Diceros bicornis minor: one gene and its partners. The protein of the gene in region 1 interacts with the protein of each later gene in a pairwise test. Links are inferred from orthologs where the notes say so. Each region holds a gene or a part of one and is shown on either strand. Other genes may lie near its edges.

What was found.
Region 2: the proteins of CCNDBP1 (region 1) and C14H6orf226 interact in binary tests that used the Homo sapiens proteins (3 or more experiments, as listed by UniProt). The two-hybrid records come from large-scale screens. The link is inferred for Diceros bicornis minor from reciprocal best matches to the Homo sapiens genes CCNDBP1 and PEX39.
Region 3: the proteins of CCNDBP1 (region 1) and PSMB10 interact in binary tests that used the Homo sapiens proteins (3 or more experiments, as listed by UniProt). The two-hybrid records come from large-scale screens. The link is inferred for Diceros bicornis minor from reciprocal best matches to the Homo sapiens genes CCNDBP1 and PSMB10.
Region 4: the proteins of CCNDBP1 (region 1) and ILF2 interact in a two-hybrid assay, tested with the Homo sapiens proteins (2 studies listed by BioGRID and IntAct). The two-hybrid records come from large-scale screens. The link is inferred for Diceros bicornis minor from reciprocal best matches to the Homo sapiens genes CCNDBP1 and ILF2.

Annotation. Positions count from the first base shown.
Region 1 is NC_080744.1:40,641,208-40,649,122, reverse strand, and holds the start of CCNDBP1 (cyclin-D1-binding protein 1), read right to left. Parts: upstream 3,017-7,915; 5' UTR 2,921-3,016; coding exon 2,812-2,920; intron 2,636-2,811; coding exon 2,576-2,635; intron 2,287-2,575; coding exon 2,207-2,286; intron 1-2,206. Other genes in the region: TMEM62 (transmembrane protein 62), read right to left, coding at 3,910-4,236, 6,888-7,006. UniProt on the Homo sapiens protein: May negatively regulate cell cycle progression. May act at least in part via inhibition of the cyclin-D1/CDK4 complex, thereby preventing phosphorylation of RB1 and blocking E2F-dependent transcription.
Region 2 is NC_080753.1:22,728,982-22,734,992, forward strand, and holds C14H6orf226 (uncharacterized protein C6orf226 homolog), read left to right. Parts: upstream 1-4,770; 5' UTR 4,771-4,929; coding exon 4,930-5,169; 3' UTR 5,170-5,496; downstream 5,497-6,011. UniProt on the Homo sapiens protein: May be a peroxin involved in the PTS2-mediated protein import pathway.
Region 3 is NC_080771.1:19,682,529-19,690,239, forward strand, and holds the start of PSMB10 (proteasome subunit beta type-10), read right to left. Parts: upstream 3,006-7,711; 5' UTR 2,676-3,005; coding exon 2,326-2,675; intron 2,105-2,325; coding exon 2,017-2,104; intron 1,929-2,016; coding exon 1,831-1,928; intron 1,722-1,830; coding exon 1,581-1,721; intron 1,346-1,580; coding exon 1,230-1,345; intron 1,120-1,229; coding exon 1,061-1,119; intron 401-1,060; coding exon 249-400; intron 122-248; coding exon 10-121; 3' UTR 1-9. Other genes in the region: LCAT (phosphatidylcholine-sterol acyltransferase), read right to left, coding at 3,930-4,504, 5,490-5,714, 5,806-6,110, 6,190-6,346, 7,055-7,208. UniProt on the Homo sapiens protein: The proteasome is a multicatalytic proteinase complex which is characterized by its ability to cleave peptides with Arg, Phe, Tyr, Leu, and Glu adjacent to the leaving group at neutral or slightly basic pH.
Region 4 is NC_080743.1:57,899,398-57,906,410, forward strand, and holds the start of ILF2 (interleukin enhancer-binding factor 2), read right to left. Parts: upstream 3,023-7,013; 5' UTR 2,933-3,022; coding exon 2,928-2,932; intron 2,231-2,927; coding exon 2,171-2,230; intron 1,958-2,170; coding exon 1,915-1,957; intron 1,435-1,914; coding exon 1,330-1,434; intron 674-1,329; coding exon 596-673; intron 252-595; coding exon 149-251; intron 1-148. UniProt on the Homo sapiens protein: Chromatin-interacting protein that forms a stable heterodimer with interleukin enhancer-binding factor 3/ILF3 and plays a role in several biological processes including transcription, innate immunity or cell growth.

The DNA of each region.
Region 1 (7,915 bases):
TATTGCTTTCACACAGCACCATCATAAAGTCAAAAAATCGTTAAGTTGAACCATCGTAAGTCGGGGACCGTCTGTAGTTGTGTTCGCACCACAAGGGCAGAGCTAAGCAGTTGGCCTGCAAAGCCTAAAATATTTACTATCTGGCCCTTTACAGAAGAAGTTTGCCAACCCTACCTTAGACCACTAACCAGGTGTCTGATCTCTCTGTCTCGCCATCTGTCTCTCTCTTAACAGAATCACAGTACAGTCATATGCTGCATAATAATGTTTCCAACAATGACGGACCACAGTGGTCCCATAAGATTAGTACTGTAAAGCCTAGGTGTGTAGTAGGCTATACCATCTAGGTTTGTGTAAGTACACCCTATGATGTTTGCACAACAACAAAATCGCCTAAGGATGCATTTCTCAGAATGTATCCGTCATTAAGCTAGTCATGACAGTATACCTAAAGGTAATTAGCATGGACTCTACAATGCTCAATGCTGACTATTTTCCTTCTAAGCAGTCACTGGCTTTCTCTTATCTTCCTTGTCTTCGCTTCTCTACTAAACTCTAAGCCAGTGCTATGCAAAATTGGTCCACAGATTGGTGCTAGTCCATAAACGGTTCATCACAGTCTAGGATGGATAAGTACGGTGAATGAGAGCGTTCAGAAACTTTTGTGGCAATTTGACACTGCTTCAACATCCAAACATAATTTTATAAAAATACCAGTCCATATGGACTGGAATTAAAAAAAAAACAAAACCATTCTTCAGTAGGACTAACATGCTGAGATTCTAAGAAAGCAATTGTGATTCAAATATATATAATTCAAATAAAACCAAATTCTAATTTTTCATCCATGAGTGAAACCACTGTCCTGAGCATGTACAGAAAAACAGTTCTATGCTGCCACCTCACGGTATCTTACTAGCTATAAATTTTAGCAGCAAGTCCTAAGTGTATTTGAAAGAAAGGAGTCAGCAGATTGAAGGTAATACTACTACTCCTTTTGAAATAAATATTGACTTTCACAAAGCTTTTAAAGTGCTCTCATACAATTCATCTCTTGTTTCCTCATCACAGATCTCTGAGGTATGCAGGGGGAGAGAGTTTATCACTGTAGATGCAGCAAAAAAGTTTTTTTTCATTTCAAAACATCTGAATATATAGATTGAGAAAAAGAAGGAAACTACTGACTATGGAAACCAAATATGGCAACGAATATGTCATTCTAAAATAACCCTACTCCCAAATTAAGTACATCTAGCTCTAGAAAAACTAGTCACAGCCAACATGTTTACTTTCATTAGTTTTATAATAAAGTTATTATAGTTACAGTTATTAAAAATGCATACATTCTTTGTTCTAGCAATTCCACTTCTGAGAATTTTTTTTACAGATACACACACAAAAAAGACTGTAATTCACCACAGCACTGTTTATAATAGTTACAAGTTGGCAACAGCTTAAATGTCTACTTAGAGTATTGTCTAAATAAATTATGGTTATATCCACTCTATTGAATACCATGCAGCCATTAGAAAGACCTGAGCAACTTTATATGTGCTGCTAAGAATCAATTTATATGTGCTATGATTGATAATTTTTTTAAGAAAGGAAGGTCCAGAAAAGTGTTTATGGCATCCTTTCATTTGTGTAAAAAGAAGCATAGAATATATATGGAATAATACAAAAGTAACTGGGGAGGGGAGATATAAACTTTTTAGCACACAACTTTGATATCTTTTGAATTTCACACTGTATACATATGTTACTGATTAAATATAAGAAATAATACAACACAAAAAGGGTATTATGTAGCATAACAGAAAAGGCATAGCCTAGACATCAGATAGACTCTAATTTAAATCCCATCTCCACTGCTTTTTTACCTTAACTTGAGCCTCTGAGCCTGCTTACTCATCTGTCAGATGGGGATCATGCATGTGAAAACACCTAGCAAATAGCAAGTGCTTAAAAAAATTATCAGGAAGGAGATGACCAGGATGAACTTCAAATTGAACCAATATTTAGAAGACTTTCCCACTCCATGCCAGGTACTGCACTTGGCAATTTGGTCTTCGCAACAATCCTGAAATCTTATTTGACAGGTGAGAAAAATAAATTCCCTGGCTTAAGTGCAAAAGGTGGAAAGAAAATGAGAGCATTCCTAAGGAATAAGGCGGCAGCACATTGATTCCAGGAAGGTAAAGCCCACCTGTGGAGACGGCAACGGAAGTCGAGAAAAGGCTTCGGTCAGAGTCGTGGCTTCCCTTGACACTTTCACAGCGGCCTCATCTAGGGGTGACAGACGAGGAAACAGGAGTCAATATGTTAGCGCTAAAAGGATGATGCTGCAGCTGCTGCACGGACTTGGAAGATAACGCGCTCCCTTCTCCACCCCTGCCGGCTGAGAAGTCTCAAAAACACCTCCAAAAATCAATGTTTTATATCAACCCCTGAAATGCCGAGGATGTACCGGTAAGGTGAGGTATCCCCACAGAGAGGATGCGGCGGGGGGAAAGCGAGAGGGAAAGGGGTCGGGACGCTGGAGGACATGACAGATGGGAACAGGAGAGGCACTCACTGAGTCTTCTCCAAAACGTCTCCCGATTAAACTCCTTGGTGGTCTCCTGGGCTTCACCGACTGGTGGGCGAGGCGTGTGGGCCGGGTAATGGCAAAAAAAATGGCCGGGTAAGCGGAGCCACCTCCTGCCCCCACCTCCTCCGCGCGGGCCCCCGCCTCCGCCGCCGCCACAGCCTGGCCTCTCCCCCACCCCAAGCGCGCCCCTGCCGTCGCCTGTCCCAACTGCGTCAGCTCACCCCGCACTCCAGGCAGGAGCAACCGCAGCTCCCTTGCTAAGTGCCGGAGCTGCTCCAAAGGCGGAGCCAGGGTAGAGAATGCGGCTGCAGGCGCAGCTGCGCCCGCCATCTCAGTAGACCTCCTAGAGCCTGCAGACAAAAGCAGCCAAGGCAGCTGCCCGTGTCCCACTGCGGTAGCCGCTCCACTTCCGGGCGTCACAGACCGGGATTCGCTTCCGGCAACAACCCGCCTCCCCGCCGCCCCGCCCCGCCCCAAAGGCCCGGCCACACCCCCTCCGGTCCCCAGAGGCCCGGCGAGGCCTTCTTCCGCCCCAGAGGCCCACCCACGCCTCCTGCCATCCCGAGGCCGAGCCACTCCTCCTTCCGCCCCAGAGGCCCGGCCACGCCTCCCCTCGTCCTCAGAGGCCCGGCCACGCCTCCCCCCCCGCCCTCAGAGGCCCGGCCACGCCTCCTTGCGCCCCAGAGGCCCGGCCACGCCTTCTCCCGCCCCAAAGGCCAGGCCACGACTCCCCCTCCCCGTCCCCAGAGGCCGGGCCACCCCTCCTTCCGCCCTAGAGGCCGGGCCACACAAGCAAGGACCTCTCTGAGTTACTTCTTATTCGTTATTCATTTATTTGATTAGTTGAAAACACCCCCGACTAAGGGAGCAGAGAACCCATAACCCTGCGGGAAAAGAGGACTGGGAGCTAATATCTCAAGCGTAGTCAGGGTCGGGCCCAAGTTCGCAGTGGTTCTCCGCCCCTAAAGTGGCACCCGTAATGGCTGCTGAGTTCCAGACACTGTGCTAGATACTTTACATGAGGTAATCTTAAAAAACACACTCGGCCTCAGATACTCCCATACACCCAGTCCCTGCCGTGTGGATCTCCTAGATTAGGGCTTTCTCTTCACAAATGTAAATCAACCCTTTGCCTTCTTGGGGAAGGAAGGAATCAACATCATTTAGACACTTTTCTGCAGTCCATGCTGCAGAAATCAGTAGTGGGTAATCCCCCCAACTCCCAACCATCCAAGCAGCAGCAGCCCACCAATACTGGCCTTTCACCTGTTGCTGGGGCAGAGGCCTGGGCTACTGACAGGCGGGTGGTGAGATGGCCTTCAGGAGCTCAGGTGGCTTTTTAACTGCACTATGAAGGTTCCAAGCTCAGTAGAGTTCAGTGTCCACACACAACGAATGAAAACAGGTGTCAGCAGTGTCAACCAGGTCCGCAGTGGGGAGAATAAAAAAGCTAAAGTGCCATACGTCATATGAAGAACATAGCAGGAATAAATCTGCCAGATGTACAGCAGTACCATTAGCAGGTGAACAAGTATGACTTTCAAGTATCTTCCTTGACGGAGATGAGACCTGAAGTTGTGACCAAAGCACCGCTGCAGCAAGCTCCAACACAGGTAAGCCATCAAGGGGATGTTAAAAAACACCAGCTGGAAAGAGAAGCAGAACAAACCATTTGCTTAATAGCAAGCCCCTGGAGGGGTGGGGTCTCACTAACACATTATTGGTGGCTCCTAAGAATATGTTGCTTTCTCTCTTGGGGGTTAACTCTCTGATTCTTTAAGCTTCAATCACATTTGCATATAACACAACAGTTGACTTGTAGTTAGCTGTATATTTGCCTGTATCCTTCTGTTCATCTTAAAGGCAGGTATCATTTCATTTATGTTGAAGCCCTCAATAATGTTTAAGGTAGAAATGAATTGAATATGTGCAGGTCAATATATATACTTGGGGTTTTTTTTTTGGCACAGTGAGGGAGGAACTTGGGTGTCAATATTTTTTTATCTGTATTTTTATTTGAAGTAGCCTGATGAATACTAGAATACAAATTAAAAGATTTAAGTTATAATAAGGTTAGCTGCTGTATGATTCATTCATTCATTCATTCACCAGATAATTATTGAGCACTCATTATGTGTCAGGCACTGTGCTAGCTCTAGACTAGGAACATACTGGTGAACAAGTCCGAAAAGATGCATCATAGAGGTTACATTCTAACAGGGAGAAGAGAAACCAAAAAAAAAAGATAATTACAGATTGTGATAAATTCAATAAAAGAAATAACTGAGTTATGAGAGGGTAATTGGGAGATGGAAGGACTGAAGCCTTCCATCTCTGAAGCCTGAAGGACAGGAATGAGTCAGTGAAAGGAAGGACATTTCAGGCAGAAGAAACAATGAAAAGCAGTCTTGGCCTATTTAAGGCCAATAGGCCTGGCACAAGATGAGCCAGGTGGAAAGGGGGGCAGTCAGCAGGACCCAGATCATGTCACTGCTCTGGTTAAAGGGTTTTAAGCTGAGAAGTGAGCTGATTAAGGTTTTAAAAGGACCACAGTGGATGCTCTGTGGTGAACTGATAGTAGAGAGGCAAGAGCAGCAGTGGGAAGACCAGTTAGGGGGTTAGTGCAGTAGCCCAGGCAAGAAATAATTATGACTTAGACTAGGATGGCGTAACAGAGATGGAGAGAAGGGTGGATTCAAGATATGTATTGGAGGTAGCTCAAACAAGGTACTACTTGCTGATGAACTAGATACAGGGTATGAGGTAAGGGGAAGAATTGAGGATACATCCTGGAGAAACTAAGTGAATGGTGGAGCCATTTATTGAAATTGGAAAGAATTTGGGGAGGAACACAGGTTTGGGGGTAGAAATTAAAGGTCTTATTAGAGATGTAATATTAAGTTGAGATGGCTTTTAGATATCTAAGGGAAGATGTGAAATGGCAGTTGGATATATAAGCACTTGAAGTGCCAAGAAGAGGTCTAGGTCAGAGATGTAGATTTGGGAGTCATGGGCCTACATGACACATAAAATCCGTTATTAGTGTACTTTTATTAAAATATAAATATATACCCACCTTTCGGTAAGGATCAGGTTTTACTTGGTATAAGAGTGCTCCACACACAGATGGAGGGCCAGCCTCCATCTACATAATGGAAAACTGAACTGGACCCGGGACCTACTCACATATACAATGTGTACAGAGAATGTTGTACAGCTGCTGTACAGAGAATGTTCTGGCTTGTAGTCAGTGTTTGCTGGGCAGAGGTCTTCCCTAATCCTGCTGATCATGTTTCACTATCCTATTACAAGGCTGTGAACTCATTCTGAACAATGTTTTTGGATCTCTTCCAAAACATCAGATCATCACTTCAGATTTTGGTCCATTAGCCCCATTAGGTGAGTAAAATAAATTGTTAGGTAAATAGTTTTCAGACCTATTTATAGAGATTTGCTACAGGTCAGAGTTTTTTGTGTTGGAATCTTTGTGGGGTTTTTTTTTTTTTTTTTTTTTGCTGAGGAAGATTAGCCCTAAGCTAACATCTGTTGCCAATCCTCCTCAGTTTTTTTCTTGAGGAAGATTAGCCATGAACTAACATCTGTGCCAGTCTTCCTCTACTTTATATGTGGGTTGCTGCCACAGCATGGCTGATGAGTGGTGTAGGTCCGTGCCGGGATCCGAACCAGAGAACCTGGGCCACCAAAGTGGAACGCACCGAACTCAACCACTATGCCACGGGGCCAGCCCCTAAAGGAATCTTAATCCAAGTGTAAATCTAATGTATGAGTGTTTCCCAAACAAGTGTACTGCTAAGACATCACTAGAAAGCCAAGTCTGGTTTTTGCCCAGTGTAGCTTCCAGTGGGTAACTGACCCGCTTTTCTTGTGCGTCTGTTTTTCCTTTCCTCCCTCTGAAACATTTTCCTTCTTCATTATCATAATCAATTTTGGTTTACTCAGAAGTCTATCATTTATTCTACCATAAGTCCTTTATTTCAGTTTTTGTCAATGCAAAAGCACAGTGAAACAAACAACAAAAACAAAAACCTCTTTCACCTCTTATAAACTCTGCTTGCCAAAAATGTATTTTAGATATTTACAAGACAGTAGTGGAAGAAAGAGCTTAGGAAGCACTCTAAAAGCAAACAAAACACCAGATATTAAAGATTGCCCTGCCAGTAAATTAGGAAACATGATCTATGGTGTTTAATTTGGGATTTTGGATTTAATTTGTAACTGTTACGCAATTAGTCCAACAAGGCCAAGATGTTCTTAAATTGCATTTCTGACTTCTTACCTGAAGAACTCCAACTATAAATGTTATGCTGCCTTGTAGGAAATGTCCATCAACAAAGATCCCAAAGGAAAAGCAGCAACCCAATTTGCCCTTAATGATTTCACCAACAAACCATGGTCCTGAAAGAAGCATTGGACAGGAAAGGAGAAGATTAAATAACTAGGACTCTGATTATATACATCATGAGATGCACTTATACGAATAACAAAGAAATATGAGACTAGTCATCTATAAGCATTTTATTTGCATAGCTTTTCTTCTTTGCTAATCTCTTTGTTGTACCCAATGTCCCAGCTAACCAACTGTTTGCTCCTTTGCTCCATATTTCTCTGGATTCTAAAATCATGTGAGTACATGCTATACCTGGAATAGATTCCAGAAACAGACTGGAGTACCTTCACAAATTTTAGAAAATTCTGTTGCAATAATAACCTCAATATAATGCATTAGCATTTCCTTTAAGAAGCAAAGAGGTATTCCACAAAAGTTAATTTTCCAGATAACTGAGATTTACTCCTTTAAGCAATAAAACTTCAACCATTGTAATCTTTCTGAAATGCACTTCTTCTTTCTTATTAATATTAATGAATGTATTTTAACCTTTTCTTGCTGACCCACAGTCTTTACTTTGTACATCAACTACAGATTCAGGGTTAACGTGTTAACTTGCTTCTTTAATTTTTCATCTAGAATGCCAGAATGACTTTTCTCTCCTCCCTACTATTATTTACTTCCCCTTCCCAGTGTGCAGGTTTCTGGAAATACTATACTGTCAAGAGTGATTAAGGGACAGTCAGACATCCTTTCTCAAAATGCAAATATCATCATTTGCTGGTAAGAGTAGAATTCAGCTTTAAAAAGTCATTGGTAATTTTCTCAGATATATATTATATAAACGCCATTAGATACATATTAGCCTAAAAAAGTGTTTTTCCTTCAAGTTTCAACTTTTAAAAATGGAGCAACTTCTGCCCTTTTAATGTTTTCTTTTACAGCCAGGAACCAAATCACGTGCTTTGCCTCCTAGT
Region 2 (6,011 bases), on another chromosome or scaffold:
CATCCCAGGCCACTCCTCAGGCATATCAGCCCTCTCTGACTATAGGAGATGAGGGACTCCTTCCAGGTGCCATCAAGGTGTCCTGATTGCTCACTCACATTTCCCAGCAGACATCGATAACTCCCAGTTCTCCTTTCCCCTCTGCATGTTCCCTGTGGCCATCAGAAGCCAAATGACTCCATGCCATAGTGAAGAAGAGCCACAGCCATTTCATCTCCCATCTCGCCACCCCAACAATGCAGTACCCTACGTGTCATCCCATGCCACCCCCAATGATAATTTGAGTAATGGTGATACCTTTACATGCAGTGGATTACCTGGGTGCATTGCCCCCTCTGCAAAGAGGCTTCCCCTGTACTCCCTGAGTTTATGATCAATCCAATTCCAGTATCCTGTTTGAGGCTGCTCTTGGAACCCATCCCCATATTGGTGAGTATGGGCAGGAAATAGATGACACACTTATATTGGGTAATTTGAGGAGGATTCAATAAAAGGACTATTTACAGAGGTGTGGCAGGGTGAAGGGAAATCCCGAGGGACAATGCGGTACCTGGGACTATTATCAGGCCTGAAGGAGTGAGGGGAGGGAGCAATGGCAGGGCCCCAAAGCCAGAGAGCTGTGTGGAGGGACCCTGCAGCCAGTGGTGATCCTGTAGGGAGGGAAACTGGAAATCAATACCCTGACCCCCTTCCCCTCCTTTCTTCTGCTGGATGCCCCCGTTGGCCAAACCCACAAGCCAGAGGGTGAGGGAGCCTATTGCTGGTGTCTGTAGATGTCAGTGTCCAGGAGGCTGGGTGGGCAAGGGTGGAGAGAGGACCTGGAGGGGCCAACAGAAGAGAGCCAGCAAAACTACCCATCTGACAAGAATATTAATAACTGCCTTTGTGGGCATCATCCACTATCCCATTTGATCTGCTGGACAATCCTGTGAGGCAGGCTCTATCACCGTTCCCGTTCCACAGACAGAAATCTGAAGCACTGATAAGTGAAATAACTCGCTTCAAGTCCCATAGCTCATAAGTGCCAGAGGTGGGATTAGGACCTGGGCTCAGTCTGGCTCCAGAATCAGGCTTGAGCCAGCCCTGCAGGCTGACAAGCTGACCATAAAAGCAGCTCATACACATGTGTGCTGATAAGATCAAATACTTTTCAAAACCAGTATGATGTGTGGGCTGCTTATTTCAGTTGGCACATAACATTGTAACTGCACCAGATACGTGCTATATTATTTATGTAATAAATTATATAATCTATGTATATCATAATTATCATAATGTCTTCTGTGACTTTTTCCCTGGGTAGGCTGTGAGCCGCTTAAGGATGGAGATTTGTATGCCGAGCATTTGCCATTGTGCACAGCTAAGGTGGGCTCTCAGTCAATGCTTGCCTTGAGTTGAATTCGATCTTTTCTCCTTGAGTTTATAACAATAGATTCAGTCAGTCAGTCAGTCAGTCATTTAGTTTACATTTTCTGAGCACCACTAGGTTTCTGAGCTGCTGGTCTAGGCACAGAGGGATATGAATGAGTAGGACTCATGATCTAATCTAAGAGACAACGTGTGGATAGTGAGATGAGCAAGGGACTGTGGGAGCGCAGAAAGAGGATCAGTTAATTCTGATGGCAATGATGGAAGGGATGGGCCCACTGAGGAGAAGCCTTTGAAGGATAAATTGAGTTTCAATAAATGAGGGAGAGGGGAGGGCATTACCTGCTGAGATAGAATTTTAAAAATCACGGATTAAAGATGTCTAATGAGTTATAAATGAGCTTAGAGGTGTTTGGAACCTATCTTTTACACTTAGAGGTTGATACTTGGCCTTGCCACCCCCTGCTGAAATGACCTCTTTGGCTTCCTGGGGTCCTAGCTGATGCAGGGAGGGGCTGTGGACGAGCCTGGACAGGAGACATCTTTGCCCCTGCCTGTGGGCTTATTCACTTTTCCTTCTTCTGCCTCCTTGCCTTCTGCATGCACATCTGTGACAGTGCACAGGCTCAGAATGGCTGCCCACAGGGTGGGGGCCTCTGTGCCTCAAAAGGGGAGGCAGCCTGGGATGGGGAGTCAGGAGGCCCAGGTTGCAACCCTAGCCCTGTTCCTCCCTTTCACGGGCTTGGTTTACTGCTCTGTATATGAGTGTTGGGCTCAACCGTGTTTGAGGTCCCTCCTGACAATCCCTGATTCCTAGGCTCATACTGCCCCTCTTAGGGAGTTGTGCTGAGGATAAAATGAAAGAATGTGAGAGAAGAAAAATGATGACGCTGAGACAACTTCCCACTTACCAAACACATACATGTCACTCTCCCTAAATCTGAGAAAATTTGGTCCTTACTGTGCCTAGAAGGACACCCAAGGTTTGTTTTGACCTCATAGGGATGTTTTCATCTTGCCCTTGGCAGGTAGGAAAGAAGGAAATGGCAGAGCAGAACACCAGAGCCCTGAGCTAGGATGTTGGGAGTGGAAGTGGGGCCAGGGCATCTGAGGAAGAAAGTGAACCTGGTGAGTTAGGGGGAATCCTTAGGGCGAGAATTGCCCTATTACACGAGATTGCCCAGGAAACGGATGCAGGCCACAGAGAAGGATGAACTTCCTTCATTCAGTATTCTGTTAAAAACCCCGACTGGTGTACCGCAGTTCAATTCTGGCGCTAACCATCTGGAGTTAGTGCAGACCCCACAAGTTAGAGGGCATGGTCCCCAACAAGACTGCTCTAACTTCAGTTGCCAGCTGCAAGTTCAGAGGGGTTCCCAGGCTGCAGGTACTTCTGACTGACTGGGTACAAATTTGGGGGGTTTCCATGACTCCCTTCAGGCTCAATAATTCACTAGAACAATGCACAGAACTCAGGAAAGTGCTATTCTATGATGACAATTTTATTAGAGAGGACACAAATCAGTAAGACCAGCCAAATGAAGAGGTACATAGGGCAATGCAGAGCTTCTGGGCCCTTTCCTCGTGGAATCAGGGCATGTCACCCCCCCAACACATCAATGTGTTTGCCAACTAGGAAGCCCCACTGTGCTTTGTGTCCAGAGTTTTATTGGGGTTTCGTTACTCAGGAATGGTTGATTAAATCATTGGCTGGAGACTGAACTCAATCTCTAGGCTCCCTCCCTGGACCTCACATGGCTCAAAGCCCCAACCGTCTAATCATATGGTCTGTCTTTCTGGTGTGGCCAGCCCCAGTCCTGAAACTACTCAGGGGCCACCATGAGTTACATCGTTGGCATAAACTATTGGGCTCACCATGAATATCACTCCTAATACTTGGGAAGTTTCAAGGATTTACTGTCTCCCTCCCAGGAACCAGCGACAAAGGCCAGTCAAATTCTTTATGATGTGACATTTAGTGTGGTCAGTTTCCTCCAGATCGGCTTCTCAAGCTCCCTCCCTCCCACTTTTTTTTTTTTTTTTTGTGAGGAAGATCAGCCCTGAGCTAACATCCGATGCCAATCCTCCTCTTTTCTTGCTGAGGAAGATTGGCCCTGAGCTTAACATCCGTGCCCATCTTCCTCTACTTTATATGGGCGCCACCACAGCATGGCTTAACAAGCGGTGCATCGGTGCGCACTTGGGATCCGAACCTGTGAACCCCCGGGACCCCACAGCAGAGCACGCACACTTAACCACTGCACCACCAGGCCGGCCCTGCCTCCAACTTTTTGCTTTGATAAGTTTCAAACCATTTAGATTAACCAGTTCTTGGCAATTTTGCCACCTTTGCTTTCTCTCTCAATCTCTCTCTCTCTCTCTCCTGACACATCACCCCTAAATACTTCAGCATGTATCTCCTACGAACAAGGTCAATCTCCCACATAACCAGAGCACAATGACTGCACTCAAGACATTTAACATTGATGTAACACTATCATCTAATATACATGTCACATTCAAATTTACCCCAGGGGAAAAAGTCCTTTATAGTTGATTTTCCCCTTATCTTGGATCCAATCCAGGATCACAATTTGCATGTTTCGTATCTCCTGTCATCTGACAGAGTTCCTGTCTTTTCTTTTTCTTTCTTTCTTTGTCTTTTATGACACTGACATCTACAAAGTGTCCAGGCCAGTCATTTTGCAGAATGTCTCTCACTTTGGTTTGTCTATTTCCTCAAGATCAGATTCAGAGAGAACATTGTCAGCAGGAATACTACAGAAGAGACGCAGTATTCCTACATCTGTAGTATCCTTCTCAGTGCCTCCCATCAGGAGACACATGATGCCAGTTTGTCCTATTAATAATAATTAAACTTGGATTACCTGATTAAGATCAGGCTAGCTTTTGATAGAAACCTGAGAAATATTGGTACTGATCTTCCAAGCAGTCAGAGGGACTGCAGCACACCTGGCCTGCCTTCATCTCCTTTCATCCCTTTCGGGAACACCAAGAGCAGAGTCTGGATGGCAGGAAATGGGAAGAGTGGCCAGGCCCTGCAGTGGTGTCACTTATTCCCAGTTCTCCTGAGGCCACTGGAGATAGCTCCGCAGCCATTATCTGTCTGGTGCTTCGGAGCCTGGGATGGAGATTATGCCGCCCCCCCCATATGTCCATGCACGTGTCCCTGTACGTGCGCACTTCTGCGTGTGCATGGAAGTAGGTATGTGCGCGGTGCCTATTGTGCAAACGTGGGTCTTTCTGCTTGCATCAGCGTGTCGGCATGCACGTTCCGGTCGGTGTAAGCCTTCAAGTTTCTTCTAAAGCACATTCCACGTTGGAGGCTCTGGGGTGGGCTAAATTGTGTGTGTGTGTGTGTGTGTGTGTGTGTGTGTGAAGCGCTCCTGCGCGGAGCTGGTCCTGGTTCTCAATGCTCCCCACTTTCTGGGCCGGCGTGGTCTGGTCTGCGACCCCCCTTCATTTCCTCTGACGGTGGTTGCTCCCACGCCACCCGGAAGTGTTTGCCTCGCCACAGGCCGTCTGGTTTCGCCGGCAGACATGGAGCGGCAGGGCGGTCCGCGCTGGTCCGGCAGCGCTCCCACGCCCGAGGAGTTGGCCCCGGCCCCCGTGACTCTGGCGCAGCTCCTGCAGCTGGTCCAGCAGGGCCGGCAGCTCCCGGGCCTCGAGAGGCGCCACATCGCGGCGACCCGTGGCGAGCCCACGGCGTCCCGGCTCCCGCGGAGGCCCAAGCCCTGGGAGGCCGCGGGCTCGGCCGACGCCCCCGCGCCCCCGCCCTAGACCCGAGGCCCCAGGCCCCGCGGACCCTCGGGTACGGGTAGAGGAGCCGCCTGGAGGGGCCCGGCCCCGGGGAGGCAGCGACCACTCCTTCCTAAATGACACGCAGTGGGTTCCTGAAGCTCGAGGTCCTTTGAGCCGAGATCTGGAGAGCGTGACGGCGTCCTGTATAAACTCGGACCCTGGATACTGGCCACTCTGTTCCTCATCTTTTGTGCATTCGCCCTGACCTGTCTCAACTGGACTTAAGCCTCCTGGGAGCATCATTGGGGTTGTTTTGTATCCGTATTTCTTAACCATGATCTTCATTAAATTTTTTTTTTTTTTAAATCCTGTTTCAGTCCTTATTTGTAATTGAAACAAATGTCATACTTACTTGACTATCTGCGATGCATAAATATGTTTTCACTTTAAAAATGCTCCTTGGGATACACTAAAGGGGTCTGACCCACTGGGAAGTTTCTTAGGAATGTACAAGAACATCAGTATTTATCTCCTGATTCAGTTTATTCTGGTGGCTATGGAACTGAATACGGGATCCATTTTAGACGGCCATTCTCCAGACAGGCAGTTAGTAACAGGTTTGATGATAAAACTTGGCCCCAGAATGACTTCAAAGATACATTAAATGAACGAAATTTCAAGCATTAAAAAAAAAATCCCAACAAACAACACAAACCTTAGAACCCTTGGCTCTGGGAACCAGCCAGGTCAGGCAAGGGGCTATGGGCTTAGAGCAGAGGAAAAGCTCCCACGACCACCTTCTGCAGTCAGTCTCTTGCAAGAGGCCATGTGGCTCACTGCACCTATTCTTGCTTCCTGAAACTAGGTTATTTTCCCTACAC
Region 3 (7,711 bases), on another chromosome or scaffold:
CAGCCTACTTCACTCCACCTCCATGGCCTGCACAGTTTCCTCCAGCAGCTCCAGGGTCAGCGGCGTCACTGTCTGGGACAGGACAGCTGTGGTCCCAGGGGCAAAGCGGTACTGGCTGGGCCTGGGAGGGAGGAGGGATGGCCTCTCAACATGGGCCCATCATGTAGTCTATCCTCTTCTTGTAGCCTTCTATCTCCCCTGCTACCACCCCATCCTCCCCTGTGGTCCTCCATCTCCTCTGTTCCCACCTCTCTATGGGCTTTGTGGGCGAGCTCAGTGTTCGCAGCAGCTTGGCACCGGTCCTTGTGATCACACATGCATCCACACTGCCCCCAGAGCCCAGGTCACCCAGGATTCCTGCAGTGATGGCTTCCACCAGCAGCTCCTGCGCGGCCTCCAGCTGTGATGATGATGTGTGTGTGAGGCCTGATGGACCCCTCTGGTATCACCCTCAAGCTTCAGCCTGGAGACCTTGTTAATCTTGAAGCCCAGACTCTTTACATTTGCTCACACCTAAACTCCTCTGTCCCCCTACACCCCCATCTCAACCCCAAGCTCCCCTCCCCTGGTGTCTGCCTCCATCTCTCCAGAGACCTCATGTTCCCACAGCCCCATCTTCACAAACTTCTCTGAGTCACACTTATGGCTCTGCTTCCAGTGGCCTGTCCACCCACCCAATGTAGTCTTGGTCCCTGATCTACTGGCTCACTGCATTTTTCCTTCTGGGCCTTAGGTACCTCTGAAGCAACATACGTCATTCGCTTCCATCCCACCCCAAACAAAATCCAGACGCCAGACCCCATCTTCCGTTCCCTCCTCAGCCCCAAAGGGTCCTCTCCGAGCTTTGACTTCTCCCGGCAGTCCAAGCTGTGGCACTGACGTGGTCTGTTGGAATAGCACTTCTCCATCCTCACTCCACCGACCCCTCAGTCTCCACTCAGTAGTCACCTCCGAGACGCCTCCCCCGACCTCCAGACTAGGCCAGGGTACCGCTGCCTTCCCCCAGCTCCCAGGTGCACTTCCCACCAACGAACGCGTAGAGGGGGTAGATGTCGCTCACCGTCATGTTCGGTTGGAACCGGTCCTCCAGAACCGCCAGGGCCGCGTCCTGGCCGGAGCCTGCAGGCAAGAGAGGCATCTGAGGTCAGCCGCGGCTGCCCCGTCGCGGGACAAACGTGAGGCCAGAGTCACAGGGGCGGGGTTCGTGGGGAAAGGGCGAAAACGCTCACCGAGGGCCGTGAAGGGCAGACGGCTGTAGGAGCCGTGGGGGTGCACGCCATAGAGCTGCGGTCCTGTCAAGTCTACGCCTCCCACGATCAGCGACGCGCCCACGTGGCCCTGGTACCTTTCGGCGGAATGGGCGTGGTCAGCAGCAGGCACAGGGCTCCCGGTCCCGCCCCCCGCGACACCGCCCCTGGATCAGAGCCACACCCCTTCTTGTGGTCTGGCGCCCTCGACTGACACCGCTCCTTCCTGTTGCCCAGCTCCTCTTAGGCCGGCCTCTTCCGGTCTCCCGGGACCTCGCAGCCCCGCCCTCCCCGCAACAGCCTCTCCCCTGGGACAGCATCCCGCCCCAGCACCGGAAGAGCGTCTGGCGCAAAAGGCGAGTGACCGTGGTCACACGGGGCTCGCGGCCCGTGGACAGCGCGTGTAACTCCATGTTGGACGCCGCCATCCGCGTGGTCATCTCGGCGTCCGCGGCCACTCCAGCCCCACAGCAGCTGAAAGGGAAGGGAGGGTTGGTGTGGGCGGGGCTAGGATGTGGGGGGGCCGGGGATGGGAACGAGGGGGAGGTTCTTGCGGCGGGGAACCCGGCTGGGGAATTCTCACTAGATTTTGGGAGCGATGAAGTGGATTTTCTCGCAGTTCTTGTCCGCCACGACCGAATCGTTAGTGGCCCGCGTATCCGCGCCCAGGATGACCCCGTCCTGTGGATGGGGAGGGGCTGCTGGCTCAGTGCCCGCCGGATCCCCCCAGCCTCCCCTGTAAGCCCTCCTGTCCGAACCCCCTGCTCACTTGGAACACAAGGCCCGCGATGGTGGTCCCGGTTTTGCGTGCATGAGGGACCCGGAGCCGCGGCAGGACGCGTTCCAAGGATGCGTTTCTGAAAACGGAAGGGAGTGGCCCAGGTTACGGTTCTTCTTCTGGGTTCGCCATCACATCCGCTAACTCCGTCTCCGTCTCCCTCACCTCCCGGGGTAAGCCTGGGAACCCAAGTTGCCAAACACACGCTACCCTCTCCTCCACCAGGAATAAAGGCCCTGGGGCTTCCACTCCCGGAAGCCTTCACTGGCAGCTCGGCACCAACCATTTCACCCCCCTCACCTCTGGCAGTTCTCGAAGGAGAAGCCCCTTCGGGGCTCTAGCGCTGGCTTCAGCATCTTGCGGTGGGCAGGGCGGTCCGGGGGTTGGGGTCGATGGTCGGACGAGTGGCACCAGCGTGGAGCGAGAAGGGCCACGGTCTTGGCCTCTGTTGGGTTCCACGTCTGACGCTTCCCGCTTTCGCTTTCACCCTCTCTCAGCGCACACCGGCCCTTCTCTGCATATTCTCTTTCACTTTCACCTTCACCTTGGGTCCTAAGCAGCTTGGGAAGCGGGAGATGTCCCTTGCCTGGCTCTCCATTGCTGCTTCCCTGTCCTCTGAACAGAGGGTCAAATCCTTTCCTTCTGGCCATTGTTCCACTCCTCCTCCCCCTTCCAATCTGAGTCCCTAGCTCTGCCTACCCTGACTGGAACGCTAACCTCAAGTCTCAATGCCCTAAGGCTGTCACAGTGGCCAGGTCTCTGTCGTTATTGGTACTGGCCTCCCAAAAGCATCGGGTATGGCTACCTTTTGTCTTTTGTCACTCCCCTTCTCCCAACTCCTGCCTCTCTTTTGTTGCCTTTGTCTCTTCCCCAAAACCTCAAACACGGAGGCTCAATCCTTGGCCATGGTGACGCTGATCCATCTTCCCTCTCTTGGTGTGCTGTCTTCCTGCTCTCCAGAGGGACACAGTGGCTGTCCCTTTAGTAGCCTGGAGGCATGCTGGGCTCTACGCATGGCCAAGCTTTATTTCACCTCCCAAATGACCCTTTATCTATCCACATCTTTCTCCTAACTACTGCTTTAGTCTCAGCTAGCATCCCCTCTCCCTTAGACACTGCATTAGCCTCCCCAGCTTCCCACTTCCTGCCCCCCACCTCCCACCCCAGGCTACACTCTACCCTGCAGAGAGGGGGCTTTTTCTAGATTGAAAACCTGGTCACACTCTTTCCCTGATTAAACCCTTCAGCAGCTGCACATTACTCTCAGGCTCAAACCCAAGTCTTTATGGTGGCCCGTGTTACCCTTCTCATCCCATCTGATCTCAGCATAGGTACCACCTCCTCTGAGAAGCCTTCCCTGACCCACAAGACTCAGCCCCTTGTTGCTCCTTAAACTTTTCTCTCAGACCAGTTAGCTCTGTTAATAATTAAACCTTCATTAGTGAAATGATCTGATTAGTGGCTGTCACTCCCCCAGATTCTAAACTCTTGTGCTTCTGTCACCCACCTAGCACTCACTCAAAAGGCCCTGTCTAGAGTGGGGGGGGCGTCTCACCTGCCCTTTTGGAAGCTGAGAGGCACAGCTCAGATGTTCCCTGCCCTGCACGCTTGGCTCCATGTGCCCCCATCCCACAGCTGTGTGCGCAGCTGCCTCCAGTCCCCACGCCCAGAGCAGAGGCAGGCACAAGGCAGGCTGCCCAAACAGCTCAACCAGGGGAGTGGGAAGCTGTACATCACAGGGTGCTCAGTTCAATCCCAGGCTTTAGCAAAGCCCATCTTGCCCTATGTTCCACAAAGCACTAGGCCTGCGGCTGCTGATGAACAAACCCTGGTGTGTGGACCATAGTGCCTCCCCCTCAACCCACAACACACATGTCAGAGCTTACAGCAGCAAAAGAAGGTCTTTATTCAGGGGGCAGGGGCCCTGGGCTGGCAGCTGGGGATGCAGGGGTGCTATGTCGGTAGTTACCCAGCAGGATGGCATTAATGTGCTCTAGTGTCTGGTTGCTGAAGACCATATTGAGGTGCTGTATCCCGTGCAGAGGCAGCAGGTGCACAGGCTGTGGCTGGCGGCCCTGCCAGCGGGCACAAAGCTCAGTGCTGCGCGTGGCCACAGTGTCATCACCGTCCTCATAGAGCACACCCACGGGGTCTGTGTAGGGGAAGCCGTGGTCAAAGATGTAGGTGCGTGGCGTGGGGAGGCCCACACCATACAGACAGTATACTTCCACACCAGGTGCTGGGAGTCCTGCCAGCAGGTCACGTGACTGTAGCCACATGTACCAGCCTTCCTCAAAGTGCAAGTCTGTAAAGAAGCGCTGGAAGTCACGGCCTGTGTAGTTGAAGCTGGGCGTGGAAATGAACACATGGTCCTCAGGCCATGCCCGGCTGGAGGGAAACATCCAGGGAGAGGTTGTTGTCATGCGGTGCTCCTCTTTCAGCTTGATGCTGGACATGATAGGGATGCCCTGGTTGTCACCTGTGGACATGGAGCAAGGTGGGGCAGGGAACCAGGCCTGGCTACCCACTGCCCACACTTGCCCCCTAGCCCAAGCTCAGCTGGATGCTCAATCCAAACACTGATTCCAAGCCACATACTAAAGTAGGCCTGGCATTCAGTAGGTGTTTAATGTGTGCTTATTAAATGAGAAGCTCTGATGGCACTTCTGTGAGGCAGAGCTGTAGGGCCTCAAAAAGAGGGTAAGGAGGGGTTTCCTAGGGATGACTGTGTATGTGTGAATGGTGGGGGGATGGTGCTGGCAGTTCTCCCTCAGGCAAGTGTCTGTCAGCCCCTATGGCCTGTGCTGCACAGGAGTCAGAGCTGTGTTCTGAGAAGGATGAAATGAGACCGTGGCTGTGTTTGACATTTATTGATGTAGTCTAAGGAGTGTTTCCCTCACCAGACCGTGAGCTCCTAGGGGGAAGGCCAAGTCTGGCTATGCCCAGCATACAGTGGGCGCTCAACAGGTGGTGGCTGTGCCACTCCTCGGGGAAGGCCAAGTCTGGCTATGCCCAGCATACAGTGGGCGCTCAACAGGTGGTGGCTGTGCCACTCCTCAGGGAAGGGCAAGAGGGGCTTCTAGGGTCTGGCCCTGGCTTTGGAAGATCTGTCCTCAGTAGGGCAGATCCCTGGGCAAAGGGGCTCCTGGGAGAAGGCAGCTGAAAGCTGGGAGGCCACAAGGAACAGACCTAGGGCAATGAGTCAGATGGCTGGGGTTCACTTCCTCTTTCTTCCCCTTTGTCACCACTAAGACAGAGTCTGGCAGGAGCTGTTCTAATGGTCCAGGCCAGGCTCACTGCTCTCGGGGTGGGGGGGCTAAGGGTGGGGGCCATGCCCCAGGGGTGGTAGACAACAACCCCAGCCTGGCATTATGAGCAGAAGTGGGAGTGAAGGCAGGTCCATAGTCAGCTTCATTCCACTCCCCAACCTCCCACAGGATGCAGGTGAACCGATACTCTCTCACCTGAGGCCAAGACCAGCATGGGCTTGATGGAGCCACCCCAGGGAGCCCCAAGAGAGATGAAGCCATCGATGAAGCGGTCCTTCCAGGACTGGGGCTGGCGCAGCAAGAAATAGAGCAAGTGCAGGCAGCCAAGGCTGTGCCCAATGAGGAAGACAGGCTTTCCGTAAGTAGCATGCATCTCCTCCACCAGCCCAGCGAGCTTCCCAAAGTACTCCTCTTGCTGGCCTGCGGGTGGGGTGGGTGGAGGGGGATCAGGGCAGCTGGAGTTAGGGGCCACCTGCCCCACCCCGAGCTCATCATCCGCAGAGATACTCACTGGGTTCCAGCCGCCAGTCATAGGGGGCGGCCCGCACTGTCTCGTCCCGCGCATACCCATTGTTGACCAGATTCTGCACCAGTGTGTGCATGTAACCTGTGGGGGAGGCAACAGCATTGGGGGCTCTGACCACGGCTCCTGTGGGCCCACTACAGCCTAGAGTCCCACTCTTTTCCCCAATACACACACCTGCCAGCTTGTTGTCGTCCAGGTACTCAACAGAGTAGGTCTTGCCAAAGCCAGGGACACGGATCTGTACACCGGGGGCGTTGGACACACGCCCAGAGCTGCGGTTGTAGACAACCCTGGGGGCAGTGGGACAGTCAGCAGGCCAGCAGCAAGGGGGCAGGGTGTAGGGGCTGGGGCAGAGGGGATGGCACTTACCTGGTGTTATCGATCCAGCAGTCTACCCCAAGGGGTAGGAACATATTGAGATCCAGCCAGACGGTGAAGAAGTCCTCTGTCTTGCGGTAGCACATCCAGTTCACCACATCAGGTTTATCCAGCTTGGCTTCCAGCTGATTCCCCAGGCAGCCAGGCACTGCAGGCACTAGCCTTCACTCTGGATTCCTCAGATTTCCACCCCAGTCTCATCCCCCACTGTAGTGACCAGCCTTGCCCCTTCATCTTCCACACCCTTAATCCCCAGGGACTAAAGATACGATCCTCTCTTTCTGATCATACCCCCACCCCATCCCCCCAGCAGCCCAAAGCCCAGGCTCCCCTCAGGCAGGAAGGGTGCAGGGGCCAAGGCCACTGACCCCTGCCCCCACAAAGCAAACACCTAGCATGGTTCTCCATTACTGCCAAAGTCCAAGGTGAGAACAAATAGGTATGGGGGAATGGGAGCTGGGCCTAGGAGTAGGGGGCAGGCCTTGATAGGCTTCCCTTGCTCTCCTGGGCTGGTCATCCTGTCCTTGCTGGGGTTGGGGCTGAGAAAGGAGTGGTGGGCTTGGCCCAAGGTCCAGTGGCTGTAGCTCACCACAGCTTGTAATGTCCTGGCCAAGCCCTCAGGCACGCCCAGCCCCCACTCCACCCGCCTGGGCTAGACAACTCAGAGACACAGGAAGTGTGGTGGGGGAAAGGGTTGATTTCTCTGCAGCACAAACCTTTGGCCCCTCCAACCACTGAGGCAGGTATCAGGGCTAATGCAGGGGCAGAAAGGCCTTGGCAGGGTCTGCTATCAGGGACTGGGGCCCAGGCTCCCCAAGGTCTGGCCTGGTGCATCAGGGGCCTAGCGGGGGCTTACCGAGGATGACGGGCCGTGTGTGGTTACTGAGCTCAGCCTTGGGCGTAGTGTGCGGGGGGAAGAGCACATTGAGGAGCCAGAAGGGGGTGGCAGGAGGGAGCAGCAGCCCCAACAGCAGCAGCACCCACTGCCATGGGGAGCCGGGCGGCCCCATTCCAGCCCTAGTGCCTACTGCCCAATGAAGCAGTCCTGGGCTGGCTTCATCTGGAGTGAGGGTGGGAGGGGCCCCAGGGCTCGTGGGAGGGGCAGCCTGGCCAATGGGGGTGGCCAGAGATTGCCGGAAAGGGGCACAGCCTCAGGGAGCTGGCTCTGGGTCGGGGTTCAGTTCCGCCTTCTTCACTTGGTGCCAGGAGAAATAGAGCCGGGGCAGCAGGAGGCCCAGAAGTGCACAATGTTTTATTGAAAAAAGTCAGGCCTCAGCTGGCTGGCTCCCTTTGGCTGGGCTTGGTGGGGGTCCCTGCCCACAGTAGCCTAAGCCAGGTCTTCCTGCAAGTGGGCTGGGCCAGACCCCTTCCCTTGTCACCCTTCCCCTCCTCTCTGATGGTAACATCTGAACAATAAATATGCAATAAATAGCACTCCTGCACCGGCTGCCTTCAAACCCCACATCAGCCCCCACCAGTCTTATCCAGCCAGGGCAGGCCTCCTGGAGTGCTG
Region 4 (7,013 bases), on another chromosome or scaffold:
TGGCCTCTACCCACTTGATGCCAGTAGCCCAAAAATGTCTCCAGACACTGCCAAATGTCCCCTGGGGTGCAAAAGAGAAGAAATTTGGGCTTTAAACATCCCTACCCAATTGCTATGTTCTCCCGTGGGCAGAAAGAGGTACACTCACATGTTGGCAGAATCTTTAGGATTACCACTAGGTCGGCTACATTGTGTCCTGTAGTCATTGTTCCTTTTTTATATGATCCGACCTGTCGGACTTCTTCAATTTGCTATTGGAAAAGGGATTTCAGGAAAAAAAATTAGAAGTGAAAAGACTGCCTCTCAGAACTCAATTACAACATAGCTTCCTGTGACCCAGATTTGAAGTAGCAGAGGTCAAGTGATATCCCCCAAACAACCAAACGAAAAGCCTGATACATCACGGCTAGCTGATAACAACGATATAAGTCTTGTCCCCATAATCAGTACTATAAAGGAATTCCAGTGTAGTTTCCCATTTTCGGCTTGGCTTTGGATAATAGGCAACCAAAGAATTAAGAGACAGGAGCCAAGGAAACTTCCACACTAGCAAGGCTGCCCTTTCCTAGGACTAAATAAATCATCAAAAACTCACCACTTCAAATGTCCCTGGAGCCACAATCAAATTATCAATCACATTGTTTATTTTTGTCACCAAAGAAAGGATAGAAGCCTGAAAAACAGCAGGAAACAAAAATAACCTAAGTTGAAAAATTACGAGCAACTTCTCAGAATTTGAATATTTTCCCCTAATCCCTTCCATACAAGTGGAATCAATACTGATATAGGGCTTTGAAAACACTCTGACCCTTCTGGCCTTGAATATGTCATAAAAGAACAAGTTTTTGATCCCAAAGATAGATTCCTCAATAAAAATATGAATGCATATGTAACCTGTTTATATATTCATCTGGCAGTCTCCCTCCACTCACAATGAGAAATAAGAACAATTCAACCCACCGTGGAGTTTAGGCTCTGATAACAGTAACCTTAACCTCACCAGCAGTTATTCACTTCTCTAGCTTTCTTTCTTTTTTTTTGGTGAGGAAGATGATTAGCCCTGAGCTAACATCTGTTGCCACTCCTCCTCTTTTTGCTGAGGAAGATCAGCCCTGGGCTAAGATCAGCATCCATCCTCCTCTACTTTATATGTAGGACGCCTGCCATAGCATGGCTTGATAAGTGGTGCATAGGTCAGGGCCGGGGATCCAAACCTGCAAACCCTGGGCCACTGAAGTGGAGCACACAAACCTAACCACTACACCACCATGCTGGCCCCTTCCCTAGCATTCTTAGTGAAATCTCAGGAAGGAAGCCAAAAGAATATACCTGTTCAGCAGAATTAGGAGCAAGGTCCTGATTCCTCTTCAGCAAGGCTTCGCTGAAGGAAGTTTCATCAGGCGCTGGCTTGACCCGGGGGAAGGCCATTTCACACTAAATCAGAAGTAAATAATTATATACTATTTACCAAAAATAATATACAGGGAAGATTGTTTTTTTCGGTTGCCGCAACAGAAAAAACTGAAAATAGAAAATTCTACAACACCTGTCTACTCAAGATGTTCAAACAAGGATGTAAGCTACAAGGAACAGCCATAATTTAAGCTCTCACTACCTTTATATTAACAGATAAGCCAGAGATACAATTAATTATTCAGAACAAAGATTACAATCACCTTACTGCCAACAGTAGCCAAGGAATTATCTTCCCCACCCTCCTTACACTGTGTTTGTACTTAAAGCAACACACAGCTGACTCAAAACCCCAGCTCCACTCACTAATCCCTTTTCCTACTCCAGCCACTATTCAAGACTTCATTGACAGGGAGATGCTGGGCTCCAGGAAACTACAAGTGAAACAGTGTCCAGGCTCCATTTCTATGTCTATAGGTGAACAGGGGCCAAGATACTCACCAAATAGAAATCAAATGGGATATGTGGCACAAAGGGCCTGAACCTAAAACAAGAAAAATCCAAATTATTCACCACAGAAATCAAGTGACTTAGCCTAATGGGGCCAAACTCATTTAGCAGGAGAGGATGAAAAGAAACGTTTCTAAACCACAGCTGGATCTCACAAAAGCAGGTAGCATCAGTCCACTCCAAACTCCTATTTAGATGACTGAAGTGTAAATTAAGCAGTGCAGAGATGCTAAAAACTGACACTCACCCTCCTCCTGGGCCGCCTCTGGAACCAAAGCGACCACCACGACCTCGGCCTCTGTCACCCCTAGAAATGCATAAATAGATTTTAACCTGTTTTGACCTGTTGAAGGCATCTCCACCATACCGGTCAAATCACTTCAAGTTAGCCTGCCTCCACCGCTCCGAACTTCCCTTTGGAAGCCAAGAGACCCCATTCCCACCTACGCTTCTCCCCATTCCAAATGCTCAGCCTCACCCCCAGGACCTCCTCATTCTGGATAATTTAGTCACAACTCCACCCAAACATAATGACGGGCTCAAACACTGAACCCCTACAAGAAATACCCCATGACCCCTGGAAGACGCCAATCCTAATACCTGAGGCACTAAAGTGAGTGCTCATTTATTATTAACGTAGTAAAACATTTAGCGGGCATTTCCTATGTCAAGCACTTGGCATAGAATGAATGAGGCACGTTCCAGACTTCCCAGCCTAGATGGGGGTGCTTCTCCTGGGACCCGAGGACACCCCTCATCCAGACCCCTCCAAAACCGAGGGGCCGACCGCCTGCCCGCTCCTGCGCCCCACCCCCAGCCCGGGCCCAAGTTTCCCCGCCCCCGCAGCCTCCGACCTCCCCTACTCTCCCAGACGAGGCCTTTTCGGTGTTAGGGCAGCCCCCAGACACGTGGCCCTTTCAGCTCCTCCGACTCCTTTCGGCCCACCTTCCCAAAGTTTTCGGTCGAATACCCGACACCATTCTACAGCACCCCAGTGCCTTTACCTCATGGCGCCCTAAAACCCGAACAATGGAGGCCACACCAACCGCCCCTTTCCTCGGAGGAAGAGATAAATGGAGAGGCGGCTTGCCGGCGTGTCCCAACAAACTCCGGCGCGATTGGCTCCCGCCTTACCCCGCCGCTTATGCCTATTGGTCTACAATGGCAAACTGGCTTATGAACCAATACAAAATGCTGACTGTGTCAGGATCTAGCCAATAAGAACAGACTTAACAAAAATGAGCATTTTTATTCAACCAGACACTAGACGGCGCTGTGTAAAGAAGGCAGGACGGCTAACGCGCTAAAAACTTTCTATAGAAACCATGAGGCACCTTCTCTCCAGCTAGCAGAGTGGCGCAGCGGAAGCGTGCTGGGCCCATAACCCAGAGGTCGATGGATCGAAACCATCCTCTGCTACAGGCGTGTGCTTTTTCTTCTCAACTTAAATTTTCTCAGTAAAGGTAACTGCCCTCCTTTTACTTTTTCCTGCGTCAAAAATGCAGCGTTTAGAAGCTGTTTTTGCCATCAGCATGTGAAATAGGGGAATAGGAAGAGACTTTAAACAACAATAAACACTACGTCTGGGTGTAGTTCACAGAAGGCTAGAAACTCGAGGCAGGAGAAGCGGATTTGAGAAAAGGAGGAAGTATATTGATGGAATCAGAGGGGGAAAACACTGATGGCGACGGACTAGAAGGGAAACCGAGGCAGCCTTTAGAAAGAGAGCTCAGAAAACGAGAGCAAAAGAAGTGGCAAGGAAAGAAGGACGCGGCCCACCCATTATTGCCTGATTTCCCCCCAATTTCTCTTCTTTCCTCACTCCACAAACTCTCTGGCGTATTTTACCCTTATATGAGGTTTCACCAGCCACGTATACGGATATACTGTATTTGCATTTAAATCAATCATATTACTATGTGCTTTTCGTTTCTTCTGTAATCCTTCTTCTCCTTCTAGCCTTCTTTTGCATTGGTTAATATTTATTATTCCTTCCCTGCCTCTGTTAATTGGAAGTTACGCACTTTTTCTACTCTTCTAGAGGTTACTCTAAAAATTACAACATGCGTCCTTGACTTAGCAAAATCTAATTTTTGGTAACATTTTTACCCTCCTGGTGAAAATGCAGAAATAATTTAATTCCATTTACCACCGTCACTCCCTCCAGAATTATATACTATTGCTGTTGTGTAATTCTTTTAAGTGTTTTATTGATGTATAATTTACTACAGCAAAATGCACAGATTTTAAGTCTACAGCTCCATAAATTTTGAGTAATGTATTCTGTCCGTGTAACCACCACCCAGATTAAGATAAAGAACATTTTTATCACCTCAGAAACTTAGCTCATACCCCTTTGCCCTGCCCCCAAGGCAATCACTATTCTAGTTTCCATTATCATAGATTAGTTTTGTCTGTTCTTGAATGTCACACAAATGGACTCACACTGTATGTACTCTTTTTTATCTAGCTTCTTTTGCTTGACACGTTTCAAGATTCTCACATGTTCTTGCATTCATCAGCAATTTGTTCCTTTTTATTTATGAGTAGCATTCTATTGCATAAATATACCACAGTTTGTTTATCCATTCTCCTGTTGATGAACTCAGGACCTCCAACTGGCTGAGACACACAGAAAACATTTGGGTTGTTTCCAGTTTGGTGCCATTATGAATAAACCTGCTAGGAACAGTTTTGTACAAGATTCTTGTGGTGAGATGCACTCATTTCTCTTGGGTAGGCGTAGCTGTATACGTGTACAGAATTTAAATTCTGTAAATACTTTCAATCTCACAAGACATTAATGCTTATTACCTAAATTAGTGGTCATTTAGATTTACAATCTGTGTGTGTGTGTGTGTGTGTGTGTGTGTGAGGAAGATCAGCCCTGAGCTAACATCCATGCCAATCCTGCTCTTTTTGCTGAGGAAGACCAGCCCTGAGCTAACATCCGGCCCTTCTTCCTCTACTTTATATGGGACGCCTCCACAGCATGGCTCGACAAGCGTGCATCCCTGCGCACCAGGGATCCAAACCCAGCCGCCAGCAGCAGAGTGCGCACACTTAACCACTACCCCACGGGGCGGGCCCCCTACATTCACAATTTTTAATGTTCTTTATTTCTTCCTGCACGTCCAACCATTCATCTGGAATAATATTCCTTCTGCTTGAGAATTCGTGCCCCTCTGCTGGTGGCTAACTTTCTCCATTTCAGTTTGTCTGAATACCTCTTTATTTCACCTTTGTTTTTGAAGGACATTTTCTCCAGATATGGAATTCTAGATTGGAAGTTATTCTCTTTCAGCACGTTTACAATATTATTTCACTTTCTATGGCTTCCATTTTTGCTCTGAAAAAAAAAGTTCTCTAGCAATCTAATGGTTGCTCCTTTGAAGGTAATCAATCCTCTTTTTACTATTTTAAAGATTTCATCTTTGATTTAATTTCCTGTGATTTCACTCTGATGGGTCCAGATATGGATTTTTTTTAAAATCTTACTTGGTTTGTTGAACTTCCTGAATCTGTGGCTTGATGTATTTCATCTATTTTTAAAGTTTCTCAGTTATTGTCTCTTCAAATATTGCTTCTAGTCTTTTATTTTCCTCCTTCCTGGGCTCTAAATAAATGTGTGTCAGACTTTCTCACAGTATCCTCCATGACCCTAACCCTCTCTTTTATGTTTTTCACTCCTTTTTATTCATGTTTCATTCTGGGTAGTGTCTTCTGTCCTTTCTTCCAATTCATTACTTGCTCCTAAGTCAAGTCTAACTTGCTGTTAAACCCATCGATTGGTTCTTAATTTTGGTTTTGAATGTTTTGGGTCCTCATGTTCTATTTACTTCTGATTTACCCTACTCCTAGGTTTCTAGGAGTGCAGCCTTTCAGGATTCTAATGAAAAACAGGAAGGCAGTTTACCAGGTTTTCATCTTTTTTTTTTTTTTTTTGGTGAGGGAGATCAGCCCTGAGCTTACATCCATGCTAATCCTCCTCTTTTTGCTGAGGAAGACCAGCTCTGAGCTAACATCTATTGCCAATCTTCCTCCTTTTTTTCTTCCCCAAAGCCCCAGTAGTTAGTTGTATGTCATAGTTGCACATCCTTCTAGTTGCTGTATGTGGAATGTGGCCTCAGCATGGCCCGAGAAGCAGTGCTTCGGTGCGCGCCCAGACCATACCCGGACCACCAGTAGCGGAGCACGCGCGCCCAACCGCTAAGCCACGGGGCCGGCCCAAACCAGGTTCTCATCTTTGGGGAAGTTTGGATTCCAATTTTTGTCTCATTTGCACCACACAGCCTATTTTCTGCCACCAATTCGGATCAGCAAATGACCCCAGGGTAAAAGCAGTCCTACTGCTGTCTCATCTCTCTGCTTTCCTGTCCTTTCATGCTCTCACACCAATAATTTCTCAGTCTTATTAGTTCTTTGATTTTTTAAAGTATTTCATCCAACATTTTTAGATGTCTTCAGCTTGAGGATTGGACAAATTATTTAGTCCACCATTGTTGAAAGAGGAGCTCAACTACTAAATTCGATTTCTAGTCTAGTTTCTCCTGAGCTCCAACTCCACTAATCCAATGGCCTATTGGACACCTCCACTTGGGTATCTACAGGTGCCTCAAACCATCTAAACTAAAATTATCATCCCCCCAAAATTTGCTTCTTCAGCTTCTCAACCAATGGGTCAATGTCACCTAGACTTCAGTTACTTGTATACTGTCTCTCTTCCTGAAGTCCAAATGATTTTACTTCCAAAACATCTCCCTATAGTCAACAATACTGTACTATGCATTAAAAAATTTGTTGAGGGTAGATCCCATGTTAAGTGTTCTTAGCACACACACAACATATACACAAAAGGACACAAGGAAACTTCTGGGGGTGATGGATATATTTATTACCTTGATATTGTGGTGATGGTTTCATGGGTATAAGCATATATCCAAATTCATCAAATTGTAGACATTAAATATGTACAGTTTATGGTATATCAATTATACCTCAATAAAACTGTTTTTTAGTCTCCCAATCTCCTATATACATCTATAGCCTCTGGAGCCCCCCTTACAGGACAAAGACATTATGCCTGTCAC